Arabidopsis thaliana: one gene and its partners. The protein of the gene in region 1 interacts with the protein of each later gene in a pairwise test. Each region holds a gene or a part of one and is shown on either strand. Other genes may lie near its edges.

Region 1 (5,433 bases):
AGAAGTTCTTCCAGAGTCAGATCCAACCTTCTCAATATCTCTAACAACATTCAATCCCTCAACAACTTGACCAAACACAACATGTTTCCCATCGAGCCACGAAGTCTTCTCAGTACAAATAAAAAACTGAGATCCATTCGTGTTCGCACCAGCGTTAGCCATAGACAAAATACCTGGTCCTGTATGTTTCTTGATAAAGTTCTCGTCTTTGAACTTCGATCCATAGATAGATTCACCTCCGGTACCATTCCCGGCTGTGAAATCACCTCCTTGACACATGAATTTCGGAATCACTCGGTGAAAGCTTGATCCTTTGTAGTGTAATGGCTTACCTTGTTTACCGATTCCTCTCTCTCCGGTACAGAGTGCTCTGAAATTCTCGGCGGTTTCTGGTGTTGTGTCGGCGTAAAGCTCCATCACGATACGACCGGCGGATTTGCCACCGACGGTCATGTCGAAGTAGACTTTAGGGTTTGTTGCCATTTCTTTTTTTCTCTGAGATTGATTGGAGAAGAAGATTAGGTTCTGTGATTGTGTGAAAGAGATTAGGGTTTTGGTAGTGTTTTATAAAGAGAAGGAAATGATTTTTGTGACCGTTGATTTTGACACGTGGAGGAAGATTGAAAGGGTTCGTGTTAACTGTGGTTAGTGTTGAATCTAACTAGGGTTAATAGTTGCGTGGATCCGAGGCAGAGAGAGAATATTGTGTTTTTTTTTTCTCTACCTTTTTACTGGATAAGATATTAAGTAGTCGTTTCATTGATTTATTTACGGGCCAGGAATATTAAGCCCAATGTCGTAAAAAGAAGCCCATTGGTTTGGAGATAAATAAGAGTTCCGATAATGTACATGTACTTAGCCCAAACCACTCTTAAATAATTGTAGAGACTGAGAGGATTAGCTTCATAGAGCATCATAATAGTCTAATGACACAACTCTCATATTTTAAACCTTGGATTATACGATATAATTTCCAAATACAAAATTTCAACCTATATTGTTAATCTAATGATTATTCAACTTTTCTTTACTATATACATGAACTTTCGAAAGAGAATTATCATTTTAAACAAAAGAAAATAATCTTGACAAATTACAAAAGTTAAAGAAAATTGTTTCCTTGCAACATCTATAGCTAGAGAGAGTAAAGAAAGCATTACAGATTCTGTGAAGTTATCTCTACCAACAACTGCAACGTTACTATCGTTCGTGTGTTTTCGGTTTCTTATCTCAAGCCCCCTAACAAAGCGTGTGAGATCTACTTCTTCTTCTTTGACTTACTCGAAGATTGAGTGTACGAAGTACCCTGCATTACACAATACATTGAGAGCAATGTATCAATACCAAAATGTTCAATACATTAAAAGTTAAAACCCATTATGGAGAAAGTTATTAGGTCTTGTGCAACGAATACCTCAAGCCATTCATCATGCGAAGCATCTTTAGTTGCGGTTCCAACTTCAACTTTTGGTGCTCTCTTTGTTTTCTGCGCAAAGCATTTTCACAGTAACCATTCTCAAAGTTAGTACCATGGAATGAAAGTGCGATAAGATAGCGAAATAGGATGTACCTTGGTCATATGCTTCAAAACATTTTGGATATAGATGGCGAGAAAAGCGATAACAAAGATTAAAAGACCACTAAGGAAGACTGACTCCATTCTGAAGAGAGGACCATCTTCAACAACTTCAATAGTTCCATTATAAAAGATGCTTTGGTATGGCTTACCATCTATCTCATAGATGATGGTGCCAACAAAATCAAAAGCACCCGCCTGCACGAGCAAATGGTTACCTCGGATTCTATTCTATATTTTAATGTCATCTTGGAGACTAGAAGAACTATATGATTAACAAACATACCTGCAGGAACTTGCTGACAGCAAAAGCATATGGCAAGGTAGCTTGAGCGGAAGTTGGCACAGACGCGTTGCTGAAACTCTACATTTAGATGATTCGACAAAATGACCAAATAATAAGTAGCAAACTTAAAGAGCAAAGGCCAGAAAAGGAAAAGAGGAGAAAACTCTATATTCAGCAAAAGCCATTGTAAGATTCTATATCTAGAAATGAAATGGAATATAGCTAGAGCCAAAGCAAGTATCTGGTATCAAAACATAAATGATAAAGATTAAAGGCTAGAGAGAGACTTTCTTGCATTTAGATACAGGGATGTAACAAGTTCAGGTATTGTTACTAAACCATGAATGACCTAACAAAGAGTGCATAGTGTGGAGTAACATGAGATGAGACAAAACAGGCAATGAAAAGAACCTAACAAAGGGAAAAACTAATATGGAAAGACAAGTGAGATCACACAAGCAATAAATGTGAGAAGAAGCAAAAGATGATTAATTACCAGAGCAGTGAGATTCTGAACAGCATTTTGATCAAAAGGAAGATGTAAACTGCCTTTAACAGCAACAATATCTACATTGGATTGACCTATTCATATAACCCAACCACAAAGTTAGAAACTTTATAGCTAACTTTGCAAGTAATCATTTGATAGAAAAATCACTTTCATTACCATCATTTTTCATTCCAACAAGCAGCTCAGTCTCAACTCCAGCTTTTATTACTACAGAAAATCAGACAAACCAAATTGAGAAGAAGCCTAATTTCAGAAATTAGATTAAAAACAGAGTAAAAATCTGTACTTTTTGCACTGTTCTTGGGGAAAACGCAAAGGGTTTCAATTCCAGGAGCTGAGGTAAGTTCCAAACCAAAAACTTCCTCTGCATCACTCTCTTCTTCACCAACATCAGAAACTTCGAAGCCAGAATCTTCCGAATCCGATTGGCACAAAGCAACTAAAAACAAACAAAACCCATCACAATGAATTCAAACAAAGATCATGTGAACAAAAACAGAGTAGAATCAGCAAATGAATGAACAAGTAGAAGAGAAAGGTGTTACCTTTGAGAAAAGGTGAGACAAGTAGAAGGAAAGCGAAGAAGAGAAGTCTAAAACTTGTCCTCATGATGGTTTTGAGATTGGTTTAGTTGAATTGATCTTCGTGGGTTGAAGTAAAAGGGCGAAGAAAGCAAGAAGACAGAGGTGCTTTTGTCTTTTGACGTGTTTATGCTTTCTTCACCGACGTTGACGAAGAACGACATATGAATGTGAGTGTGTGTGCAGATCGGATTTTGTAAACGACGTCGTTTTCCGACTTACCAATTTAGAAACACCTTGCCCATAGGTGTTATAACATTTTAGTACAAAGTGTCATAATTATGGCCGAGGAACATAACCTATAACCCCTATATTTTTGGACAATTGGGGACAGAAATATGGCAAAACCAGAATATTCTATGAGCAGCTGCGTTTAGATTCTGTTCCTTGGCCGTAAGGAATCTACACATGCATGATGTTGACTTTTTCATTTTCTCACAACAGCCTTTAGGCAGTTTGCCTCCGTGACCGTTAACTAGAAAAGGTTGGACGCAAGCTAGAAGATCCAGATTGCAAAATGGTAGCTCTTTTTTTGCACCAACGACTTTGATCGGAGAAGGAAATGATGCTAAGATCATCATGATGATGGCTATGAGTATCCATGGACTGATCTTCATTGCTAATGTATTAGTAACTCGAAATTACAATCAAAATAAGATGAGTTTACTTTGTAGAAATTAATAATCTTTGTTTTCTTCATTTTTTAGATGTCTTTAAATAGAAAATTGAGAAACAAAACAATATGGGAAGTCGGAGAGATGGAAGGATGGTTGTCCTATTGTTAGCTCTGTTTATGTGGAGTTTTATTCATTAAGGAGCTCGTCACGTGTCGTCAGCTGCTCCACTATCTCCTAGATATAGGACCCCATGTTCGGTCCCGAACTATACCATATGAAAGTATAAACTAGTATAGACTTGGATGACCAAAGTTGAGTCAATTATAATACATGGTGAAGTATGTATACTAGAAAGCAAATTCTACAAAACTCAAATAGACAGGAATAATAACTTAAATCCATTCACAAAATATCTGCTTGAAGTAGAACTTTGAACCATCTTGAATGGAAAGTAGAATAGAATTGAGGCAGCCACGGGATATCCACCAATGGTTTGATCCACAGAATCTAAGGTTCGAAGCTTGAATGGTCGGATGGATGAAGGTAGTGATGGGGATGGAAGTTTTGAATGAATCCACACTCACCATAAAATTTAACAAATAGATTGCTACTTTAGTTGTGTTATACAACTGTACGGCTTCTCACAACATCGTATATATGTACGAATGTATTTTAGAATACTGCCTTTGAGGAAAAGTGAGGCAAGGAGAAGGAAAGCAAAGAAAAAATGTATGATCCTTGTCGTCATGATGGTTTTCAGATTGGTCTTAAATTGATAGTGGTGGGTTGAGGGCGAAGAACGCAAGAAGACAAAGGTGGTTTTGTCTTTTTGACGTGTTTAATGCTTTTGGTGTTGACGAAACGACTTCGTTTTCACTTGTCAATTTAGAAACAGATATTACTAGCAGAGATCGATAACTCGACTTTTAAGGTACCCTGGAAAATGCTAAAAAGTCACAGGATCAAGTGATATCTGGAACACGTAAAATGTCACAGGATCATGTTTCTGTGTGTTAGTTACAAAGGTGGATAAAGTATTAATAATAATTTTCGCTTAAATGGTTATATGTTTCTTAAATGGTTGTGTATTGAAGCTCAACTTGTGTCTCTCGAGCTTCAATCAATCATGTCGTAGATATAGTCGAGGAACATAACTTATGTATAAAATAAATTAAGAAAAAACCATAACCTATATCTCTAGATTTTTGGACAATTAGGGACGGAAATTTTGCAAAACCAGAATATTCTATGAGCAGCTGCGTTCAGGTCACGTTCCTTGGCCATTAGGAATCTACACATACATGATGTTGACTTTTTCATTTTCTCACAACAGCCATTAGGCAGTTTGCTTCCGTGACCACGAACTTTAAAAGGTAGGACGCAAGGTAGAAGCTCCACATTGCAAAATGGTAGATCTTTTTTGGCACCGACGACTTTGATCGTGGCTGGAAATGATGTCAAGATTATGATGGTGGCGATGAATATCAATGGAATGGTCTTCATGATCTGATGAATTAGTAACTTGAAATTACAATCAAAACAAGATGAGTTTACTTTGTAGAAATAGTCTTCATTTTCTTCTTAATTATATTGTCTCTAAATAGAGAATTGAAAAAAACAAGAAAATATGGAAGTCGGAAAGAAGAGAGGATGGTTATCCTAATGTTAGCTCTCTTTAATTATGTGGTGTTGGATTCATTAAGGACCTCGTCAATCGTGACGTGTTGTCAGTTGCCCATCTATCTTCTAGATATAGGATCCGAATTACTAAGATATGAAAATGAAAGTATAAACTAGTATGGACTTGGATGACCAGAGGTGAGTCAATATATACATAGTGAAGTATATCACAACTAGAGAGA
Region 2 (4,321 bases), about 12 Mb from region 1:
GGGTGCAGTTGCTGCAGCAGCTACTTGCCCTCTAGATGTTGCAAAGACTAGGCGTCAAATAGAGGTAAACATACCTTTTTCACTTCATCTTTCATAATTCCACTGTGTTGCTCTACAAACTAGAATTCATCGCCAGCTTGCATTAAGTAAGTTTTGGATCTTAAACCAAGTAACAGTTAAATTTGTTTGGATTATGCAGAAGAACACAGATAGAGCCATGACAATGACCACAAGACAAACCTTGGCAGAGATTTGGAGGTATGAGTTAGAGATCCATTAGACAATTTTCGTGTTTCCAAACTTAACCATCCCGGTCGGGTTTTTGGTATAGGGACGGAGGGATGAGAGGGATGTTTAGTGGAGCAGGGGCTAGAGTGGGACGAGCAGGACCATCTGTAGCCATTGTGGTATCGTTTTACGAAGTGGTCAAGTACGGACTGCACAACTTCCACCAACAGTAACACTTATACTAGACAGATTTTGTTTTGATGCGAAGCTAAAAAGAACACACTTGCGCGTCTAATCCAATAAAGGTTACCGTATTAGGTGCTTACGGCAAAACTTGATTTTTTTTTGTCAAGAAGGAATATTATTTATGCAAGTTGTTGCATTTGTTTTTCGTTTTAATATTTTTTGTAAGAACAAGTAAATTAACACGAGATTCTTATGGCAAGAAATTAACTCCATGCATGCTGATCAAGGGTGTGATTTATAAATGACATGTGAAATGGCATATATACAATTCCGTGATTTATAAACTTTTTCATGAGAAATTGTAATCTGAAGATAAGACTTTGAGAATCGAATTCAAAAGAGTTGAGCAAATTTTCTGGCTTTCATATCCTGCTTCTGAACTGGTCAGAGATTTCTTTTGTGAGGCCAATAAAGTTGGTAATTGTCAAATATCTGGTAATTTAAGCTAAATGATGACATTTACACAAATATTATAAGGGAAGAAGAATAAATTTAATATGGAAGAGAATAAACAAAAAAGAACAAACAGTAGAGATTATCATCAATCAATCAATCTCCAGAAATCATAATCGAGAACATGATGATGAAATTAACTCTTGAAAATTTTATCCACAAGAAGAAGAAAAAAGGCAAATTGAAGAAACTAATAAGAAGTTGCAAAGAAATAAAAAAAAACAGAAGAAAGAGAGAGAGAGATTAGAAGAAGGAGTAGGAAGAAGAAGCATCAAGAGGATGAATTAGGTAAGTCAGCACTAACGCCACCACCATTAGCAAATACGCTATCCCTTGATCTATCGATGTTCCTGCCATTTCCAAAACACACCATTTTCAAATGTCAGAGAGAAACGAATTCGTAATCCAATTCGACTGTTTCCAGATTTCACGCGGAGAGAGTCTCGATTCAGATCTGGAAATGCGAATATCGTGGAAGAAGAGAGAGAGAGAAGTAGAGAGGCTTACCATCGCTGGTGGGAGCAGGAGCTGGAGCCAGGGATTGAGCGCCGGCGAGAGATAAGATGACGGCGAATACAAAACTGAACAACGCGAATCCGGTGACGGAGTTTCTCGACGCCATCTCTTGGTGATTGATCCGACGAAAATGATGATGCTCGAGAGAAAAAATCGAGAGCTCTGCAGGTGAAAAACTCCGGCGAGAGAGTGATTCTGCAGAGACGACGGAGGAGAGAGAGAAAACGGTATGAGAGGAATAAAGCAAGAAGTGGAAGGAGACGACTTGTTTAAGGTGTTCTTATAGTATGAAGACCGGTTAAAGGTTACCGGTTTCAACCGGTTATTTATCCGGTCAAATCTATTTACTAGTCAAGCTAATTAAACAAAAAACTTCTAAGAAGCATGATTTTCCTCGAATTTTCTTTTATTCTTTTTTGACCATTCCTCTATTGTTCTTTTTTTTCCTAGTTTTCTTGTCAAAATTGACATTTTTTTTTGAATGAATAATTGTCAAAATTGACATTACTATGTTTCTAGATAAATAAAAAATAAAATCATGTTTGAATGATCAAAAGTATGAATTGTTGTGTTAGAATTTTGACTAAAGTTGTTGTATCTCTAATCCAATTTGATTTGTGAATTGTTGATAGAAAATTGTTTTCTTTTTTCTGTCAACGGATAGAAAAAGATAGAAACTTGATTAGGTACTGATCTAAATTACAATCATATAGCCGATAAAAAAAATTATAATCATATAAGTAAATAAATTATTTATGTAATAAACTTAAATGAATTACAAAAATTCAATATTGGTAGCTTTATAGGGTAAATTCAAAAATAGCAATAGAAATGAAGTTATGGATTATATGGTTTAAACATAAGCCCAAAAACAAAACAAAAAAATCTTTAAAAGAAATTGGCGGCTAGTTTAATTAAACGTTACAGCGACGAAGAAGGCCATGTGATGTGATGTGATTATCTTTTTTTTGTAAGCATTGTTTGGTTGGATTATGATAAAATACAAATCTTTAGAGGTGGTGTAATGGTAGGGGCTGACAGACTGGCAGCCAAACTGGACTCATTCGTCATATGTGACTCATTAGTCAGTCTCTCTCTCTCTCTATTATTCCTTTTTTTTATTGATACTCAATTATTTGTTTCTGCTATGTCGATTAATTTATTTAACGGCTATCTCAGTAGGTGTTAATCTGCGTGATTATCGGTTAATCTGCCAACATTTTGATTTTTTAAATACTAAAGATTTTCCTATCTATCTCACATGTGGTGTCAGAATAAAACAATTTATCGTGATGATGTTATCTTACATATGCTGTTTTGTTTAGGTAGAGTGTATTTTACAATATTAAAAACTTTTTAACTTGACACTATTTATAATACTAAACAGTAAATAACGATTTTTCTATGGTTTTTGATTCATAACCATGGCAGATTGATTGATTTTACCATTCTATTCCATATCCTTTTTCTTTTTCTTTCAAGGTTATCAGTTAAAAATTAAAATATATATGAGTGTGCTTGACTTCTTTTTTAATTTGGAGTACCTCGGTTGTTGAATGTACGACAATATGAATTATTTGTTGTATAGTTATTATATTTGTTATTTAATGATTCATGTAATCTTTATTAGGTGGCTAATTCACTAACTAGTAAGAGGAATTAGCCGTTGGATCAGTTACATCAATCATTTTATGTTTCAAAATATATATACTATAATAATATCTTTTAACATAACAGGAACGTGCATGTTGCAGTTGGAAATAATGTAGGGTCATCTTTTTTCAAATTTGCAAATCCTAAAACGTTATCAGCTTTTACTTTTCAAGGGTTACTAATGGTTCAGAAATCAGAATGAATGTAGTAAATCCAAAAGGAATAATACACATATATATATGTGTCACATGTGTGCGGCCAAAATAGTTCACTGACTCTTGCTCTCTCATATCTTCAATCATGTTTTTTTTTTTTTTAAACATATCTTCAATCACGTTACTCGACTGGTGGTGTTTCACGGGTGAGAAATATATGTATTTACGTATTAATTTCTTAGAATGAATATTCTACAAATAAAAGTTACTATTTGTTCTTACGTCAAAAGAATAGAGAGTTATTAAAAAGGCCACTTGATTAAAAATATATGAATAATCAATTGATGTTAATAATAATAAACTTCGTATATAAAAAATTGTCGTATATGACGACTAAAATTTAAGCACAAAAAAAAGTCTTGTGGTATAATAATTTTGATCAAAGAAAGAAAATAGAGATGAGCACAAAGAGCCTAAAATAGAGGGACAATGAAAAGGATGGAGTAATGGGATTGTTTGAAGCAACCATGTGCCCTGTGAACCCAACTTGCCTCTTTTGGTTCCAATTCGATTACCAATGTTTCGTCAACTACTGGTCAAAGTTACCAATATTTCATCAGAATAATCAAATCATCTTTAGCATTTTACAATATTAGTATAGAGATATCAGAAAATGTTCTTATTGCATGGCATAACAAAGATGATAGAACTGCTAGTATTATTTTGTGGCATGAACAGAATGGGCCAAAATTTGATAGTCACTGATGATTTAATATTTAGATTCATTTTCCATTGAAGAACCAATTTTTTGTTTTTTGTTTGTCCGGACTTGTTAGAATTGGAATACTCAAAAGACACTTACCTGGCAGATGTGAAAGATGACTTGCAAGAGATGGCATAGCACCAAAATCTTAAAGATTTTGCTTCGAAGGAAGGATAATGTTTTGATTTTTAAAACGCAAGACAAAGAGAGTCTCTCGCGAAAGCAGAGGGTTCAAATCTAAAGAGAAATGTTGGCTCAAAGGCCTAAACCCACGCCACCAAGCAATCAATTACATCTTCCTATCCTA
Region 3 (8,175 bases), on another chromosome or scaffold:
ATTTATTTATCTATCGCAAATTATGATTTTTATTAATGGTATCAAGCAAGTTTTATGATTTTTTAAAAAAAATAAATAAAAATTAACTTCAAAAATGTTAGTTTAATAAAATAGTATAATTGGATATCAAATCTTAGTTTTGCAATTCTTATTGGTTAATAAATTTTAAGAAATAAAGTTTAATTTTTCGTCCATAATTAATAGGAAAGAGAAAGTTATTTTAATTTTGGGAAACTAATAATTACTTTAAAAAATATTACAATTTTTAATTTAAATCTATTAATTTTGTGATTACTATTGTATCCTTAATGAATTTATTTAAAAACACTAACAATCAATGGCATTCTATGTAATATTCTACCCTTCATAAGGTTGTTTATTTACAATACTTCCCAATTAATAGTATAGATTTTGACATTGAAAGAAAAATAGTTTTAAATTTTATACTACATAAAAAAATTTGGTGAATAAAAATTCGGTAGAAGAAATGTTAAAATAAGAAAACAACGTATATTTTGTTTTGAAAAATCATAATAATGAAAAAATAATTCTACCTTTATCTGCAAATCTATAGCATAGCCAAGAAAAATTCGAAACAAAATGCTAACAAAACAAAATGGCTTTGATTTGTTACGACAGCTTTATAATAGTTACACTAGATTTTTGTTGTAGTGCTATTTCTTTCTTCTTTGATCTATATCAGTATTTGTTTACCGTTTTTTCCTCTCAAATTTTTTTCTCTAAGAATGTGCGATAATTGGTTTGCCACTTGAAAGCTCTTAAAGATTCCTAGTTTAGTAGGTGAAAATGATCACTGAGTTAAGGACTGATACTTTAGTGGTCCAAATTCGTTACCACTTGTTTCACATTTACATTTTACGCAAGTGTGTACATTCGAGGGTGAAGTAGAAATTCAAAATTCGAATACAAACTCAAGTTTTACTTCAATCTTCACCATCATTCGTTTTGTAAAGTTTGGTTTCGACTTGGGGATTCTGGTTCAACCCAACGGTTCAAACGTTTCAACGACGAAGACACCTGCATTATTTATAACAATAAGGAGTAATGTATATATACAAGTCAGTTCTTATATTATAACCAAAAAAAAATACTTATAATTTTCTACTAAAAATCCAATAATATTCGATTTGCAAACCTGTTGATCCCAGTCTGTTCTCATAGTCATTACTGTAAGCACGCAAGTCTGAACGAAGATTCCGAAAATCATTCCTAACCAAACACCCTAAATTTTATATTTAAAAAAAAACTATTTTATATTTGTATATACAAAATTAAATTAAAAAACTAAAAAGAAAATATTAATAATAAAAATTGAGACTTACTTTGACTTGTAAACCAACGACATAGCCAAGAAAAAGACCGGAAGGAATTCCAACAAGGTAATAGCAAGCAAGGTTAACGACCGTAACATATTTCTGCCATCCCGCTCCAACAGCAACTCCTGTACCCATTTATAAATAAGTTCAACATGTTGTCTAGGGTTATAAACAAACTCATTCGTCACGTATTCATCATATAATGATAAATTGGTAACTCATTATACGTGAAAGTGACTGGATAGTGGATATATATCACACAAAACCCTTTCTACGTAAAAACCTATAATAACCAATTTCACATATTCAGTCAATGCATGAATATAGAGTGATCATTGAAAAATGAATCCCTACAACGTTCGATGAATTAATGTCTTATATATGGTAAACAATATAGGAGTATCGAAAAGGCAAGATACATACCAGAGAGAACTGGTTGAATACTGTTCAAGAGAATGGAGAAGGCCAAGAGTGGAGAAAGATCGGCTACTTGTGTGGCAACAGCTTCACTTGTTGTAAAAATGTATGAAACCCTTTCTCTTAAAAACAGGAAGATAAAGAAGAAGATGATTCCTATCGAAAGTGATGTCGAAACCACAACCATTGTTGCAAATTTGGCTCCATTAGAATTCCCACTCCCGATCTCGTTTGAAACTCTTACACTATTACAAAACATTATTACAAAATAAAATAAAAATATGAAGATGATTATAAGATATTTAAATAAAGCATGTGTAATCAAATATTTAGAATGACTTAATCAAGAAGAATATAATCAAATATATCTAGTATATACAATATATACGCACCTTGCTGCTGCCATGAAGCCGAAGGCTACCATCATCTCCAGTGCATTTATATTGATGCTGCGAAAATTATAACATATAATATTGAATCTAAGTGCCTATGATCAATCGCAAAAGCATTATGCTATTCCGCGGCTACCAATTAGCTAGAGAGTATAAGTACAATTGGTAACCTAAACCTATCATTTTCTCTAGCATCAATGTATATTGTTATGTAGACAATAAAACCAATTCTTTCTGTTTTCCTACGAACAATGTTCGTCAGTAGTGTTCCGTATGAAGTCAAAAATGGTAAAATGTCAGTAGCATTCAGACGAATGATCTAAAGATAATGTACAAATCGATCGTATGAATATAGCTTCAAAGACAAAAGACATAAAACTGATAAAAATACTTTACCAGATTGCAAGTGCGTTAAGAGCAACCTCAGCGTTTTTCAAGTTTCCCGTGAGCAGAATCAAGATCGAGTTGTACCATAGCTCCAAGCTGCCAAAAATTAATATCACCAAGCAAGTGCTATTATATATTATCATAATATATGTGTATATATATATATATTAATCATAGTAATATTATAACAATAATATTAATACTATTATAGTAATAATATTATTATACAAATACATAAACACGAAATTTTTCTCTATAACATTTATTCAAAATTTCTCAACCTTTGAGAAAATGAATGAATGTACTTGGCAGCTTTTCACCCAACGTGGCATTATATATAAATTAGGTGATCACCCGCGCTACGCCGCGGTTTTTTCGGAATTTTTCGTATTGTTTAGTTTAAATATAATTTTTATTTATCTAATTATTTATTCATGCAATAAGCAATTATTTTTAGTTTCAAGAATATTTTTTCTAACAACATTCTCAACAATGCATCATACATATAATTCATAAATAACGTTTGTATTAAACCAACTTAACAGAGGGTAGTTTTGGATTCTAGAAACCTAAGAATTTGATGATGGAGCTCCTTACGTATTCTTCACTCTCAGTGATTTATTGTATAAATATCAATTTAAGAGAATATAAATATCAATTTAAGAGAATAACTTACTCAAATCATTAAGTAATCTAAGACTATTATATAATCGTATTTTGAGTTTGGATTACAAAAAAAAATCTTCGAGTATGAGAAAACTATTAAAATTGTTTTATTGAAAAATCATGTAATATTAAAATAAATTTAGTAATACTATAATTAAATATGTAAAATTAAATAATAAATATATCATTAACCTATAAATTAGAAGTTGAAGAGCTTACATTAATTACTTAGTAGACACATGGCAAATGCTAAAGTGATGATGTGTTAATCATTTGGAGAGAGTTGGTCAACTTTTCATATATATGATTACAACCACATGGTCTACAAAAGTATTTGTATGACTAGTAAATATATACTTATGTCGTTGATGGATGTTGATACTTTTACCAGGTGAGAAGATTAGAAAATCATACCAAATCATGCCACCGGAAGATACAGATAGTTTAAAAACGGGCCAAAGATCCTTGAAAGCCAACCAAGAGAATCCTCTCCACGTTTCCGTACATCCACCGCATGTGACAAATAAAACCTGCGCAATGTTAGGCAACCAATGTGCTACGAGCGAAGAGGTCATGGCACCAGCGATCCCGAAATCAAAATGAACCACTAGAAGCCACGACAAGAAGACATGGACTCCTAACGAAACAGCAGCAACGTAGGCGATGATCTTGTTCTTACTCTGAGCTTGGAGGAACATTTGGCAAGTGAAGGAAGGCACAAAGGAGATGTTGATGCCTATGACCCATAGAGCTATGATCCGAGCCACACGAACAAGGCGTTCCTCTTGACCTAAAGCCAAGAGAATAGGGCCTGCAAAGATGTAGATGGGCATAAGGCAAATGGTACAGCCTGTGAGGACGATCCATGATCTTTGGAGGTAGATCCCAAGCATATGATATTGTTTTGCTCCATAGGCTTGACCACATAGTGTTTCTAGCGCACTAGCCATGCCTAACTGCATATTGTTTCATTGACGGTTCGTTATTACACCAAAAAAAAACTATTTTATGGTTAAATATTTTACATATTTTGCCTATAAAACAAGAACTAAGTAGGTTTGATAAACGCTTATATATAAACAACTATAATATTTAAACTTTAAACTTGGATATTGCATGTTGATAACTAAAAAATGTATATAACCTATAAACTCTTGTTGGTAAAGAGATCATATATTGTGTATTGAATTTTTTTGGTGTAACTGAATATATGTCCAATGGTCTAATAACATTTTAAAAGCACTATTTCATATTATAAATTCGAACCTCACACATGATATGCTAATTAAAGACCAAAACATTAAGAAAACGATGGCATTGGCAGGTGACCATTGGACATTTGTGGCCAATGACTCGCTATACTTCTTGACAATGTTATCTTTGTTGCACTATGGAGTACAAATAAGAAAAGGGAATATATTGTCTTAATATAAATTAATCTTCTGACTATTCCTTTATTTTTTTTGTCATTTCTTACAATATTTTTTTTTCACTTTTTATAAAATCAATATATTCTCCAACTTTTTTTTGGTTAAAGGTGTTTGTTATATTCTCCAACTTTCTAAACTTTATTCTATTTTGTATTTACCCACTGATTCTACTTAACAATGAAATGTTTTTGTTGCATTTCCAACCATTAATAATAATTGATGTAATAATCAAAACTCATGGAGTTTCAGTTGAGACTTGTTTATGTGAAAAAGGTAACTACACTAACAATAAACGAAGAGTATACGACCAACAATGCCTTCCAAACATTCAATATCTTATATACATAGAAATAGCATAATTTCATTTCATAAAGGCAAAGAGTTGAGTGGTTGTGAATTTTTATGATTGGTTGACAAATCAACCAAAACAAGTTCCCACAAGAAGTCTATCTAAGCATTCACGTCACCGTTTATATAGTACGATTTATATCATTCAAACTAATCAGAACAATCCTTAACATATATTAATAGTTATTAAAACAAAAAAAAATTGTTTTTATGTTTTACGAATTTGTAGTAAAGAGTGTGTGGAAGAACTGATCTAATCGTTATAGACTTATAGTAAACTCACCAAGATACCATTACTAAAACGGAGGAGAACGGTGAGAGTGATGGAGTAAGCGGCCAACTCGGTAGAGCCAAGATGGCCAATGAAAGCTTGACTTATCAAAGATAGTCCGGACGTGGAGAACCTCGTAAAGATCGCCGGCCCAGCCACAACCCATAGCTTTTTAGATTCCCTCCAAACCTTCTCCTTCATCCCTAACCCATCCCGATCTTCTCCGCGATTCTCCGTCGACTTTTTCAGAAGGGTCTCCGTCACTTCTCCTTCTCTTCTCGCCATAGCTTAGGAGAGAATGAAGAGAGAGTAGAGAAGGCATGGAGCGAGGAGAGATTTTTGTTTGGTGGGTTGTTTATTTACGTACGGAGGAAATGAAAAGCCGGCCTACACCTCTTTTTAAGATTCTTTAATTTGCCAAATTGGTATTTTATATGCAAAATGAATACTTTTCATAAATAAATTTTAAATAAAATTTAAAATTTGTCAAAATTACATTTACATTTATACATTGCATACCGAAAAAGACATAGCTAGTTTTGAACAAATCACCCAAAAAATGGGATGAGATAGTCGAAATATATATCACAGCGAGGTATGGCCTCTACAAATATTTTACCAAAAGTTGGTGTTTGAATAGACACATCTTTTATAACCAAACCAAATCCAATTAATTGTTGTAAGAGTTTAAGGTTTTTTGAAACGAACAAAACAAAAATGCAAACTATTGAAACACATCACACATCGGTGGTGGGGGTGGTGTTGTTGTTGGAAGGCATGTGACCGGTGGTAGTAAGACCAACGGTTGGTGTTTGGTGGTAGTTGTAGTAGTTTCCGTTCATGAAAAGGATGTGCGCATGCTCTCCAACATAACCCACTTGTTGATAAGGATATTCCATCAACATATTCATGAGTGGATCATGTTGAAACGGATACTAATGATTTGGATCCAAACTGAAATTATCATAGATTTCATGTTGGTATTGAATATGATAACTAAGACCAATAGGGATATAGAGCTGAATCGGCTCATACTGATTCTGATCCATCGGAAGATCGGCACCCGCAACAGGAAGAGGAGCTGCACCCGCACCCGCAACTGAAGTATGAAGTAGAGGAGGAACGGAAGAAGAAGACTCACCATTGTTTGTAAGGATCTTGACCCTGGAATTAAGCTGATTGATATAGTGATCAATATGAAAACTTAAATCTTGAAGGTCCCTTGCACCATACTGATGCTCACTTATCTTACCCTCAACACAATCAAACATAAAATGTGTAAGCTGAGTTTCTCGGTTTTCAAGACGTAGACGCTCCAGTTTCTTTGTTTCTTTGGTAATTTGGTTCTACAAGTAGGTCTCATGACTCATCATCAGCTTGGACCGTTCTATCGCCGGCCTTTTAATAAACATTAAAACCGCCTCTTAAACACCTTCGGTTGACGACCACACCACTGGATTCTCGTACGGACTGTAGGTTACCACACATGCTTTGACTTCGCAGAGAGTTGTCAACTCATGGAGTTTCTTCGTTATCCGTCCCTTCCTCATGGGCATGCTTGTGTTAGTTAGTTTCGACACTTCTTCCCCTATCAAGCTTACTGCAGTTCGTGTCTCTATGTTTGAGTTATGTATGGTTAAGCTTTTCAATTTTCGAACTTGTTACTCGGATTTCTCCGATGAAGCCTAATCTTCATGTATCTTTCTAATTTCAATTTATAAATTATGAGCACACAAAAAAAAAACCTTGAGAAAAAGTTGTGGAATTGTTTTGTTTTTCTGCATATAATTTACCAAATAAATAATTGAGCAAAACTTGAAAAAAACTTGAGAGAAACTTAGGAAAGTAGTCACAGCATTTAGTTATATATTTTTTATAAAGGTTTTCAATGATGTTATTTTTGTTATGTTTTTAATAAATTATGTATACTTTAATATTGTAAATCAAAATTTTCACAATTGGTTTCGTTAGTTTGCGTTTTGATTACAAAAAAAAAGAAAGATTAGTTAAGTTTTGTTAAAAATCACCAAAATATATAATAATTATGATTGATAAAACTTTTAAATATATTAATTTAAATTTGTACTAAAATCTACATTAACGTTTTATGAGTTACAGTTGACATTTTGGATCATTTTAAGAGTTTTTAGATAATGTTATTAACTTAAGAACATATGTTATATTCGTGTTTTAGGTAACCTGATTATATGTGAAATATAATAACTTTGAATTTCATCAAAATTCAACCTTATTTCTTATAAATCAGAAATATTCATAATATTTTGTGTTATTTTATTAAATAATAGTATTGTAGATACTTTATGTGCTGGAAACAAAATAATTATTAAATAAAGATATTGTAATAAATTACAAAATTTACTGAATTATTATTTGAAATATGAAATTTGATTGTGTATTATGTAATGTAATATACTTTTCTATTGTAAATAAAAAATCTTTTTCTTTTTGAAAAGTCAAAAAGCAGAGTAAAGTAGAAGATTTAATTCCTCTACATATAGCAAAAGAAAAAGTTTTCTTCTAAAATGACGTACGTTTACTTTTTTCTTCTTTTTATTTCTCTCGTCATAAATATAAATATATATTTATCAATATTAAAACTCTTTTAAAATCCCTTATAAATCTTTTAAAACCCTTTTAAAATCCATTGTAAATCTTTTAAAACCCTTTAAAAATTCTTTGTAAATATTTTAAAACTCTTTTAAAATCCCTAGTAAATCTATTTTCCATCAAAAAAATTTTAAAAAGGTTTTAAATGATTTACAAGAGATTTTAAAAGGTTTTAAAAAAATTTACAAGAGTTTTTAAAGGGTTTTCTTGTAAATTCTTTAAAAAAATCTTTTAAAAACCCTTGTACATCTTTTAAAACCCTTTAAAAATCTCTTGTAAATCTTATAAAACCCTTTTAA

Evidence for each region.
Region 2: the proteins of AT2G16595 (region 1) and AGP16 interact in a protein complementation assay, tested with the Arabidopsis thaliana proteins (one large-scale study listed by BioGRID).
Region 3: the proteins of AT2G16595 (region 1) and AT1G33080 interact in a protein complementation assay, tested with the Arabidopsis thaliana proteins (one large-scale study listed by BioGRID).

What each region holds. Positions count from the first base shown.
Region 1 is NC_003071.7:7,195,912-7,201,344, reverse strand, and holds AT2G16595 (Translocon-associated protein (TRAP), alpha subunit), read right to left. Parts: upstream 3,219-5,433; 5' UTR 2,983-3,218; coding exon 2,919-2,982; intron 2,813-2,918; coding exon 2,660-2,812; intron 2,581-2,659; coding exon 2,530-2,580; intron 2,445-2,529; coding exon 2,359-2,444; intron 1,941-2,358; coding exon 1,863-1,940; intron 1,775-1,862; coding exon 1,571-1,774; intron 1,487-1,570; coding exon 1,415-1,486; intron 1,307-1,414; coding exon 1,259-1,306; 3' UTR 960-1,258; downstream 1-959. Other genes in the region: ROC3 (rotamase CYP 3), read right to left, coding at 1-483; AT2G16594 (Bifunctional inhibitor/lipid-transfer protein/seed storage 2S albumin superfamily protein), read right to left, coding at 3,263-3,571; AT2G16592 (Bifunctional inhibitor/lipid-transfer protein/seed storage 2S albumin superfamily protein), read right to left, coding at 4,769-5,074.
Region 2 is NC_003071.7:19,017,560-19,021,880, forward strand, and holds AGP16 (arabinogalactan protein 16), read right to left. Parts: upstream 1,806-4,321; 5' UTR 1,550-1,805; coding exon 1,435-1,549; coding exon of another isoform or gene 1,376-1,434; exon of another isoform or gene 1,278-1,375; coding exon 1,171-1,277; 3' UTR 705-1,170; downstream 1-704. Other genes in the region: AT2G46320 (Mitochondrial substrate carrier family protein), read left to right, coding at 1-64, 200-258, 332-461. UniProt on the Arabidopsis thaliana protein: Proteoglycan that seems to be implicated in diverse developmental roles such as differentiation, cell-cell recognition, embryogenesis and programmed cell death.
Region 3 is NC_003070.9:11,983,110-11,991,284, reverse strand, and holds AT1G33080 (MATE efflux family protein), read right to left. Parts: upstream 5,636-8,175; 5' UTR 5,534-5,635; coding exon 5,261-5,533; intron 4,156-5,260; coding exon 3,614-4,155; intron 2,630-3,613; coding exon 2,543-2,629; intron 2,204-2,542; coding exon 2,147-2,203; intron 2,000-2,146; coding exon 1,761-1,999; intron 1,463-1,760; coding exon 1,344-1,462; intron 1,244-1,343; coding exon 1,157-1,243; coding exon of another isoform or gene 1,088-1,156; exon of another isoform or gene 1,039-1,087; coding exon 958-1,038; 3' UTR 765-957; downstream 1-764. Other genes in the region: AT1G33070 (MADS-box family protein), read right to left, coding at 5,986-6,110, 6,204-6,501.